Oryzias latipes: one gene and its partners. The protein of the gene in region 3 interacts with the protein of the main gene of each other region in a biochemical or structural test. Links are inferred from orthologs where the notes say so. Each region holds a gene or a part of one and is shown on either strand. Other genes may lie near its edges.

Evidence for each region.
Region 1: the proteins of prkaa1 (region 3) and cftr form a complex in vitro, tested with the Homo sapiens proteins (2 studies listed by BioGRID, with this or other methods). The link is inferred for Oryzias latipes from reciprocal best matches to the Homo sapiens genes PRKAA1 and CFTR.
Region 2: of the proteins of prkaa1 (region 3) and rack1, one has a biochemical effect on the other in vitro, tested with the Homo sapiens proteins (2 studies listed by BioGRID). The link is inferred for Oryzias latipes from reciprocal best matches to the Homo sapiens genes PRKAA1 and RACK1.

What each region holds. Positions count from the first base shown.
Region 1 is NC_019864.2:3,335,242-3,338,892, reverse strand, and holds part of cftr (cystic fibrosis transmembrane conductance regulator), read right to left. Parts: intron 2,720-3,651; coding exon 2,625-2,719; intron 1,997-2,624; coding exon 1,910-1,996; intron 1,653-1,909; coding exon 887-1,652; intron 788-886; coding exon 659-787; intron 576-658; coding exon 538-575; intron 276-537; coding exon 1-275. UniProt on the Homo sapiens protein: Epithelial ion channel that plays an important role in the regulation of epithelial ion and water transport and fluid homeostasis. Mediates the transport of chloride ions across the cell membrane.
Region 2 is NC_019868.2:17,071,896-17,076,231, reverse strand, and holds the start of rack1 (receptor of activated protein C kinase 1), read right to left. Parts: upstream 2,816-4,336; 5' UTR 2,699-2,815; coding exon 2,590-2,698; intron 2,223-2,589; coding exon 2,051-2,222; intron 1,326-2,050; coding exon 1,178-1,325; intron 910-1,177; coding exon 814-909; intron 605-813; coding exon 494-604; intron 247-493; coding exon 106-246; intron 1-105. UniProt on the Homo sapiens protein: Scaffolding protein involved in the recruitment, assembly and/or regulation of a variety of signaling molecules. Interacts with a wide variety of proteins and plays a role in many cellular processes.
Region 3 is NC_019870.2:7,430,006-7,433,656, reverse strand, and holds part of prkaa1 (5'-AMP-activated protein kinase catalytic subunit alpha-1), read right to left. Parts: intron 956-3,651; coding exon 436-955; intron 1-435. UniProt on the Homo sapiens protein: Catalytic subunit of AMP-activated protein kinase (AMPK), an energy sensor protein kinase that plays a key role in regulating cellular energy metabolism.

The DNA of each region.
Region 1 (3,651 bases), on a different chromosome or scaffold from region 3:
AATTGAGCACGGACATGGGGGCGCGCAGCACAGCGCTCAGCATCTGCTCATGAAGTCGTTCGGAAACGGTGAGCAGTGAGTGCACCAAAGGAAGGCCCCTGAAGACTCCGAGGGCCAGTATGCTGTCTGAATGGGCCACAAAGATGTAAATAATGTAATAGGCGCTGGTCGGAGTCACAATAACTGCCAGATGGACCGGGGGGGACGAGGAATTGATGGGCTGATCATCGATGTAGTTGGGTGAGTTTGGGTTGGCACCATCTCTCCAGACTTTACTGATAAAACAGAGCAGAAGACAGAAAGTCACGCTATGCTTCAACGGAAAAATGATCACATTTTGTCTTAAGGTTCAAAACATCCACTTAATTCTAGAAACCTACCATTGATAAGGTTCATAATTAAACATAATGTGAAAAGGAAAACATTTCCAAAAAACTCCAACAAACACTCCAAAACAAATATCTCAGACTCTGAAAACTAGATTTCTGTTTGACAATGAAGAGTTTTATTTCAGTTTTGAGGAACACTGACACTCACTCTGTTATGAGAAAAATACCAATGACTGAACCAGCAACCTATCAGTGGAGACAAGGACAGAGATGTTCATATTATGCTCACAACTTTAAAAGCATGGACTTGAAAAGGGTTTGAATCTTACCTCAATGGCAAAAACAATAGCAATGAAAATAAGGACATATATCAGGGTTTTGTTGGTGGAAACATAGCGGAGGTAAGTGCTCCACGAGGTAGTCACAAAGACATTCTCACGCTCATCTGCAAAGCATTGCTGTGGAAAACAGAAGAGACACTTGTACCCAGATGTTGACTGAAGAACATTTGTTTGCATTTGATAACACATGAAAAAAAGCCTGTGTATTGGGCACACCTCCATGTCTTCTTCCTCCACCTCTTCTGTGATCTCAAAAACGCTGTCCTTGGACAGGCGCCGTGCATAGATGTCCAGCTCTGTTGCCAGGTCGTACTGTGGTGTGACAGACAGCTTTTTTCTGAACGATGACTGCATCCTCTCTCTGCGGTCTTGGCCCTGAGCGTTAGTAATGAAAGCCAGGACGGACTGGCGCCGCTGTCCACCGAGGTGCTGCAGCCCGTGGTGGTACAGGTTACTCCTTGGAAGTGCTTCCTCCACTTGATCATCCTCCGGCACCACAGAGAATCTTCTGTCGGAAAGTTCATTGCCACCCTCCTCCATGAGTGACGGCTGGAGTGTGCCTGTCTGCTGGGAGTTCCCTATAAAGGAGATTTTGCGAGCAGCTGCAATGGGGTTAAGGATGAGAGACTGTTTGCGTTTTTCAGGGTATCCATCAACCCCGTTGTGACCCTGAGGTGGCGCGTGCTGGAACGACTGGCGAAGTGCTTCCGGGCCTCGGAAGCCAGCGGTTTCGTCAACCGAGACCCTGCGAAGAGTTTCTGTGAGAATGGAAGAGCGTCGCTCCGCGACAATGTTGTCATAAGCTTCAAGACCAAGCAGGAGGGAGCTGAAGTCGGGGCGTTGTGCCTGCAGCTCTGAAAATGTACCATAAAAGTAACACTCTCCGTTGTGCAGCATGAGGATTTTGTCTGAACGCTTGAGGTGCTCTAGCTTGCTGGTGACCACAACACGGGTCTTGGAGCCCATCAGCTTACAGACACATCTGTGGAAAGAGGATGAGGCATGCTCAAATGGATCTTTAGCAAAATATACAAACGGTTTCTGTTGAAAAGCACATATTGGAATGCAGAATAAGGTGTCTCATGACACCAGACATCATTTCATCAGAGTGTAATTCTTACAGACCGACTGCTCACCACAGCTAATAAACATGAAACAACAAGAGAAAACCTTAACCTTGAACTTTAGCATCCCTCCCACCCCACTGCTGCTTGAAAGAGTTTCTGTCGGCATACGTACTTATCAAAGACCTCTTTCTCTGTTGCAATGTCCAGGTGGGTGAAAGGAGCATCCAGCAGGTAAAGGGCTGCATCTTTATACACACTCCTGGAAGACAGAGTGCCAATGCAGCCAGTCAGAGAAGAACACAAAGGAAAAACATTAAAAATAAGAGTTGAAGTAAAGAGAAAACAATGAGCACAGCTGTTCCTAAACATGAAGCAAAGGAAAGGTGAGGAAATACAGTAAATCATTCCAGCTGACCCTTTCCAGTGAGGGTAGAAACAATCAGAGGCCACAAATCACTGCTACAACATAACACTAATAAATCGTTCACAGGAAAATGAGAACATGTCTGATGATTTGTTTCTGCATAAACAGTAAAACATTTTAAGGAGTTTTTTCACACACAATCAAAACAGAAAGCAAACCATCCTCTGTGAAGGGACAGACTATTTTGATAACAGCGAAAAATTCCTTTTTCCCTCTGGATTTCCACTGATAATCAAAGCAGCTGGATTATAAATGTACCTTTGTAATTTAAAATGATTAAAAATTAATATTCCTAAAATATTAAATAAACTTTTAGTAATTCCCAAACCGTTTGAATCCTTCACATGTTACTTTAAAATAATGTTATTGGACTTTTTAACTTTTTTTTTTACTTCATTCGTGCCCACATTTGGTGAAAACAAAGGTCTGTGCCCAGACTGATGCACAGCTGTGCAGTCAGTACCTGGCCAAGCAGATGCGTGCCCTCTGACCGCCGCTGAGCGTCGATCCTCCTTCACCAAGAGCTGTCTTGTCTTTTTCAGGCAGTGACGCAAAGTCCTTAAGAGAGAAAAACACGTTTATCAGCATGATTCCCCCGTAAAAGTAAAAAGGGGAATTTATTGAAACCGAATTTTGAAATTTGCTAGAGATCAAACTAAGAAAGTAAAGCATTGAAAAGCCTTTGCTTGTATGTCCAAAGAGGCTCAATCCTGACTTGAGTTTAAATGGATCAACAACAATAAAGTTTCTCAAAGGAGAAAGAAAAAAAAACTATAAATGAGAATGAAACACAAACAAATACAGCATTTGATAGTTCCTTATCACAGAAACAAGAATACTCTGCTCTGGAGTGTGTTGCAAAGATTTTAGCACCAGCCCCTCCCAACCCACGAAAATGAGCGGGTCCTCACATTGTGACGTCACAAAGGAAGAACAGCCCCTTCCAGGAAGAGTCTGTGCTGCCAGCCCCGCCCCCTGGCTAACACACACACTCACGTTCTCCACTGAGCTAGCGATGATCGGCTAAATGCTTTCATTTGATGTGCACAACATGGACATCAATCTTTGCAAAACTTTAGATGTTGCTTGTTTTTGTGGGTGAAACGCAGAAGACGACTCTAGATTGACGTCATTAAATGGGCGGCACCCACATGGAGCGGACGGCAGTGACTCTAAGAATGAGCTGTGTTACTTCAGAAAATGAGCTGTGAAAATAACCAATAATTTCATTTACAAAAATAGTTCCTAAGTGTGCCAAAGGTAATATATTATCACATATATGGATCTAGCCACAGGGGTTGCAATCTAGCCACAGGGGTTGCAAGCCAGTAACTTCTGTGCCGGTCCCAAGCCCGGATAAATAGAGAGGGTTGCGTCAGGAAGGGCATCCGGCGTAAAAATTGCCAAAATAACCATGCGAATCATCCACGAGAAAGATTTAGACATACCGGATCGGTCGAGGCCCGGGTTAACAACGACCGCCACCGATG
Region 2 (4,336 bases), on a different chromosome or scaffold from region 3:
AGCCTCTGTTATCATCAAGCAATACAGTTAGCATTTTCAAGTTTCATCAAGGCCCATCAAACCACATTCAGCAGTAGTTCCACATCATCACGTAGGAGCTCTCACCCAGATCTTGATGCTAGGGCCAGTGGCGGCACAAAGCCAGTAGCGGTTGGGGCTGAAGCAAAGGGCATTGATGACATCGCCGCTGTCCAGGGTGTACAGGTGCTTGCCCTCGTTCAGATCCCAAAGCATAGCCTGGCCGTCCTGATTGAGAGAACATTAACAAGAAAATAAGCCATGACCACACAGCAGCTCTGTTCTGGATCTTCATTTAGCGTGGCTTTACGACTCAGTGTCACTCAGAAACAGCCTCTTTTGTCATCAATTGTTTACCAACAGAATGATGTGTTATTTATCCATCACAGTTGACACCTGGAGGTCGGCCTTTGTGTGCCATCACTAAAAATCTTCACAAGTATACGAGTCGAGTTCTCCAACTGAACCAGCTTACCTTTCCACCGGATGCACACAAGGAGCCGTCAGGAGATACGGTCACCGTGTTCAGGTAGCCAGTGTGGCCGATGTGGTTAGTCTTCAGCTTGCAGTTCGCCAGGTTCCACACCTATAGAAACAGCAGCAGACAGTGACCGTCAAGTTTACACTGACATGAAAAGACCAGATAAAACTGTGGAGACGTGCTCTCATCCACAAAGCTTCTCATCAGAAACCAGGTCAGGTAATACATGCAAACTTCTTTAAAATCATGGAGCATATTTTTCTATTGTTTTTAAATCAATCTAATGGCAAATGAAGGGAAGCGGAAGTACAAACCTTGACCATCTTGTCCCAGCCGCAGGAGACAATAATGGGGTTGCTGCTGTTTGGAGAAAAGCGAACACAAGACACCCACTCAGTATGGCCTTCATCCTGCAAAATCAAACACATACGGTTTTACAGGAATCTATTTGATTACAGGTCAATGCTTATGTGATTTTTTAAAATAAATTTACAAAATTTACAAGCACGAGATTATCAGTAAAGCCTTTCTTTTTGAAGGTTAGCGACTTAATTTGCTTAACTTCATGATCTGACCGTCATGTCAACTCTTCACAGGAGTTCAAAGTCAATAAAATCCTGCAGCACGGATAAGGACGTCATAAGATCTACAAAGAGGCAGCATTATCCGGCAGCTCACCTGAATGGTGTACTTGCAAACGCCGAGAGTGTTCCACAGCTTGATGGTCTTGTCCCGAGAGCCAGACACGATCTGGCGGTTATCAGCAGAGAAGGCCACGCTCAAAACATCCTTGGTGTGTCCAACAAATTGGCGGGTGGTGAGCCCTCTGAAAAATGGCACATTTACCTATTAGCAAGAGGCTTTCAATAAAAAAAAAAAAAAACATGAAGAGGACGCCTGTCATCACACCACAGCTAAGAAATACACTCCACAACAGACGGACCAAGAAAGGAACATCAATAAAGGTTTGCCTTTAGAAAGCTGTGAAACTATCAAATGTAAACAAAAAAAGGTAAAGGCTAGAGACAATAGTACATTAAAACAAGTCAGTTCAATCCCATAAAATATAAACAGGATAGATCTCCATCAAAATGACTAAACATACAAGTTGAGAGAATTTGGCATTTAAAGATGATGTGAGGTGGAATGAATTAAAAACAATGAATTTAGGTTGACTGGACGTTTCATGACTTGTGAGGCTCCTAGAAACAACTAAAGCTGTAAACTGGTGCTTAAAAAACTGAAATGACTGGACTGGATGCAGGTAAACCTCATTTTAAAAAGAAACATGCTAAATTGATTTCCAAATCTCTCAATAGCAAAACAACAAAACTAATCTGAAATCTAAGGTATTTATATGCATCATGGAATGTAATCAGTAAATGTACTCGTCTTCTTTTGATAGTCTTTAGTACATATGTGTTAGGCATCTTTTCAAAATACATCCCATTTTCTCCACAAATGAATGGCTGGCTGGCAGCTGCTTCACATAAATGATTAAAATCATGCTGCCACCAACCACTAAAGAGATGCTTCCTGCCCTTCACTTACGTGGTGAGGTCCCACAGGCGGAGGGTTCCATCCCAGGCTCCTGACAGGGCAAACTGTCCATCAGAGGAAATCACAACATCACTTACAAAGTGAGAGTGGCCCTTCAGGGAGCGCTGGGGGATGCCATAGTTGGTCTCATCACGGGTCAGTTTCCACATGATGATAGATTTGTCTGAAAGCAAGAGATACTTTAGATAAACACATTCAAACCACTTTTATATTTATTCAGATACATTTTTTTTTTCAAAATAAAATGTGCATCAATAAGAAAAGTGCTTCAGTTACAACTAAGTTTTTTTGAGGTAGCAGCTGCCACATATTATGCTATGTCACAGGAAGCTAGCTTACCTCTTTGCTAACATGTCTACAAATGTTCATTTTGCATCACTTTATATACGGTAAAAACCTCCGTAGTTGTTTATTAAATCTAGCTGGTTTCATTTACTCACGCAACAAATTCAAAGTTACAGCATTTTGAACGCAAGCAGCTGAGAGCTAACGTTAGCCATGTTGGCGGTGCCGGCGGGGCGAAGCCTCACCTCGGGACGCCGACAGAATCATGTCGGGGTATTGAGGTGTAGTGGCGATCTGTGTGACCCATCCACTATGCCCCTTCAGGGTCCCCCTTACTGTCATCTGCTCAGTCATTTTGGGGAGGTTCGGTGGTGCCTTTTACAAGGATGGATTCGGATTTTAGACAGGTTCAGCCGAACCTAGCTCCTCATCGCATCTAGGCACAGAGGAAAAGGAAATACGACCCCGGATGCAGAAACTATGAAAGGTCGCGCAAAGGATTCTGGGACGGGTGGACTTGACTACACCGCAGTAGTCTGCTTTACGCCATTGATGTATGCACCTCTTAGCTTGTTTTTCAATTAAAAGTTCTCTTAAAGAAAGGGGAAAAAAATCCCAATAGTTATCTTTATTACGTACGGAAGAAGATTAGGACCACGGAGAAAGGGAAATTCTCACTTTATCTCAGAATTCAAACCTTTTCTATCTCAATAATGTCAGATTTCTGACTTTATTCAGAATTCTAAATTATCCAGTCAGAGTTCTAGACTTTTTTTTACGACTTCTGGCTTTTTTCTTCGGATTCTAACCCCCTCCCCCCATTTTAACCTAATTAATTAATCTAATTGGTCTAATTTAAACTTTTTTTACTCTGTGCTGTTTAAAATAATCTCAGATTTCTGACTCTTTTTTTACTTCGATTGTCATTGTGTTGTCAGAGCAAAGTGTTTGGACAGCCACAGCCACATCCACTTATGGCAGCAAAGGAGTGGCAACGTAAAAAGCATTTCAAGATGAACTTTTGTTTCTGATCAAATACCGTACTCTTTTTCTGTGCCCGTTTAACCCTTGTGCTATCCTATGACCCCCACCCTTACATTGACGTGTTATTCCTACCATGAAAAAAGTGGATAAAGGTGGAAAGATTTCATGTAATCCATGGACACCAGTGAAGATCACAAATCATTGAAGAAAAAAGGTTCAGTGAACTGTGGGTCTAGATGACCCAACTCCCAACGTTAAAGTGCCTAGGATAGCACAAGGGTTATACAAACACATTTTTAAAAATCATACAATGTGATCAGCTAGATTTTTTTAACATGTTGTCGTCTTTCAAAGTTGAATAGTATCTATGATGAACATTACTGACCTGTCATTTTAAAAGTGCGACATCTTGAAGAATCAGTGACTGCCAAATGCTTTTTTTGTTACTGTGCTGTACTTCCATTCATTATATTACAGATTGTTTTTTTTATTCGAAAATAATCAATTTTGCATTACTGCGATGTTACTTTATTTTGATCATGCAGAAGCAGAGGAGACAAATATACGACAAAGAATTCTATATTTGAATGAGGTGTAAGGCAGTTTGTATGATGATCCATCTTTTTGGAATTGTTTTTTTAATTCAAGCACACAAAACAAAAGAAAGCAGAAACAAAAGAAGCCAAATAGCTAGGATCTGTTCGTGATGCCAGAATTTTTAGGGAGTCATAATTGTGCCCCAAATTTCACCAGGGTATAATTTACCTTCATTTTTTATACAATGTCATGCATTTAATGTTATGTAAATTATACACTTTAACTGCCATTATAGGACATTTCAGTGGTTACTTGCTGGGGGACAGGGGGTATCCTTGTCTGCCATATCTGATGACCCCCTACCCTGATCCTCAGACTCGACAACAGGCACAGTTCAACCTGACCCACAGCAGAACACGGGTCAGGGTGGAGATGACTATAGGCATCCTGAAGGCAAGATGGCAGTGCCTA
Region 3 (3,651 bases):
TTATGAAGGAAAAGTGAAAATTTCTCTCCTAAATTTGACCGTTTTGTAGTTAAGCTTTAATGTTTGGCCTCACTGTGGGATCTTCTGCATGAAGGTTCTTTTTCGTTTAGTGTGTAAGCTAGAAACTTAATTTCAACTAGGAAAAAAATTGTTATTAAACAGATTTTTATCTTAAGATTCTTGAGTTAGGTGAGATGGATAGAGAACCTCTTCAAAGATCAGGATGAAGGTCTGTTCATTAAAAAAATAGATTGTGTGGATTTAACGGGTCAGAACATGTTACAGGTTCTGGGATTTTAAAATGCTTGAGTCGCAACAAGCTAAGGAGTTCAAACAACATTTCAGTAGTGGCCATTTCATTTAGCAGGTGTCCATCTGGCGTGCAGACATGTTTGGCAGGAACCCATCCCCACACCGCTCAGAGGGACGTCCTACCTTCCACTCATAATCCAGCTGTTTCATGGCGCGGCACACTTCCGACATGATGTCATTGGGTCGGCTCTGACTACGGATCCCCAGGTGCCACTTGGCTCTCCGGACGCCCTGGTGCTTGGACTTCTGGGGGTTCAGTTCGTCCAGGGTGTGGCGGGGCCTGGGCGGAGTTTCCGCCACGAGGAAGGGTACCCGCTCGGGGTGGGGCTTTAAAACGCCAGCCACGGCTGCGGCGGAGGAAGTCAGGTGCTGGTCGTCCAAGAAGGAGTCGGGAGGGCTGGACGCCAGGTAGAAATCCTTGGCTTCGCTCATGATGCGCCGATTGTCAATGATGAGATGGTAAGCCACAGCTAATGGATCCTGATGGTTGCGGCTGTATAAGCAGGACAGAACCTCCTCCTCTGTGCACTCGAACTTCTCACAGACCTCCTTCAGGGCCTCGTCATCTATCATGTTGTTGCTGTAGGAGGGGTCCTCAGGGAACAAGTACTTGGGTAGATCTTGTTTAAACCAATCGTCCTCCCTGTGGGGAGCACACACTAGTTAATTTACAAAAAAGTGAGCGTTTGGTGTCTATAACATGTTCTTATGGCATTTTTCTGATGGAGGAGGAAAAATATGAAGAGAATTAGGCTTAAAATTGCTTTTCTGAGTATTTCTTCAATAAAATCGCAAATCAGGAGCAGACAAAAATATGTAGTTTGAAAAAGATTGTATTGGTTATGCTACTCCCTGCTCTGCTCTATTCTGATAGATGACTACATCCATGTCCGCCTTTGTTTTCCTTGTTTGATCTGGCATATCTGGCTTAGAAGATATGGCTGGATAGCTCCACTATTGCTCGCCATTTTTGTCGCACCGATAATGTCAGGTTTGGGGTGTGAGGGCTGTGAGCTGGTGGAAAAGCATGTAAACAGAGAGCTCTCAGCAAGGGGGGAAGGTAAGGGGGGGCAGGATTTCCTCCATGCCAGCGTTCCCGCTCACAACTTTCTACTGAACTCCTGCCGCTCTGCAGAAACTATTTCCTAGAAAACCACACAGGTTTTTTTTGTTTTGGCTAAAGACGGCACACACATAACTGAGAGGTCTTGGGGAATGCATTCGCAATAGATCACAATATGATCAGTCGGGGTGCAACGGATCATGGTACGCATCACTAGCCACGGTTCGGCACACACATGTACCACAGATCAAGCCCCAGTCTCGCTTCTCGTGTGCAACTTGTGTCCGCATCATTTAAATCAACCGTCTATTCACAACGAACGCCATTCACGTGTTAAATTTCCATGTCTCCGTTTTTGTTATAACATGCCTTAGTTCCTGCCTGACACACGTCCAAAAAGGTGTTAAGTTAAAGCCCCGTGGCGTGTGGGAGGAGCTTCCGTCTAATGCTTTTCTCGACTTCATCATGGAGGACGTGGATGATGAGGGATCAGTTCTACAAAAGCATCGATGAGCAGCGCACGTCTCTGTGTGTGAGTTCCTGACATCATTCAGAGACTCTCACAGCCAGGAGCAGGCGGTAGAAAGCCACCGCCCCATCTGTAACCAGTGGGAGGGGTTTTATAGCAGCGAGGGACACAGTGAAAGACTGTCAACTCATAAATTCTGACTTCATTTTTTTGAATATATATACATTTTTTTTCTAGACTCAATGTGTCATATTGCACTTCGTTTACATGGGCATGCTGAGTATTTTTTCTAGATAGGAATATCTTGAGTTCAAAGATGTTATTCATTTTTTGTTTTTGTAAATATTTTACAAACATTTGTGTGTGTGTGTGTGTGTGTATACATTTTGAAGTACTTGATATTTTTAATTGAATATATGTTTTGAAGCTTTTCCAAACATTAATTGTAGGCCTCTTTCTTGTTTTTATTTCCTTTTTACTGATCCAAAATAATGATCAAAACAGGACTCCCACTAATGCACCCGGAAGGGTCTTTAAGGTGTATTTTACTCAAAGCGCTCTCAGAAAATACGGGAGAGAACGGAGGTTTAACCCCCAGTGATTCTGACATCAGCAACACTGTTACAACTAAAACATGAGCGCACTGTTTACAGGAAACAAACCCACTCAACAGGTCGGCTACAGTCTAGAGTGCACATTCCTCCAGGGTCACGTGGTGTTAAAGTGAGCGAGGTCTGCCGTTTAATCAAAGCCATCAAGGAAGTGTGCAGTAGAGGCAGCTGTCAGCAGCTTCTGCCTCTGCCACAAGAGTCCTCTGGGGAGGCTCAATTCTCCTCCTAGAGCCTCCTCCAATAACTGAGGCCCACTTTGGCCCTGAGGCTAAAAATCTAGGAACTCTTGGAAGAAAATGATCAGGAATTGGGAAAAAGTTGCATAAGTTTCACAAATTAAAGTTCTTTAGCCTTTTTTTGGGGAGAAAACTTTCAGGATTCAATAGAGCAGATTGATGAGCTTGCCTGCATTCACCACACAGCAGCTTCCCTAGAGTTTATTTATATGTTGGTTCCTTGCAATATCGTGGTTTATCTCACAATGTTGCTTTTTTTTTTGCAGATTTTTGTGTGCGATTTTGCATGCTACTGTCAACCAATCTCTGTGCTGTGTCTCCTGTCCAGAACGTGTTCAGTTTTCAAAATCTTTGATCAGACCTTTGTTTTCATTCTATAGTATTACATTTATTTGTCTATTATGGTTTCAACTTTGAGAATTTAAACAAAGGAGTAAAGTGTGAAACTGTTCATGAATTTCTGAGAAAAGTATATCAAGAGCATTGTGAGGGGTTTTACAGCCTTAATAGATATTTGTAAAAAATAAAGTTGACTACTTTGCAACCATTGACTGTATACGAGAACTGGACTGAGTGAGTGTGACCTCACCCATAGAAAATGGATTACTTCCAGCTCCAACGCCATCTTTTCCTGATATGGACACCGCCATGTTGGAGCCCGACGTCACTAAGCTGTGATTGGTCTGGGTTGGTCGGTGTCCTTATTTCTATGGCCAATCAGGAGTGAGCTTATTGAAAGTCCACACCCCTTTCACTTGAAAGCGGCGGGCTACATGAAATCTGTTTATCAGACGTTCTGAACGTTCGACGTGAGGGCCAGCAGGCACCACCTACTTTTATCGAGGCATCAATTGGTCGGTTTTAAACTTGAATGAAAAAAAAAAGGATTAACTAAAACATTTTTAAAGAAAAGGTAGCAGAGCAGGAATAGTTATTCTGACAAATAGAATGATTAATATC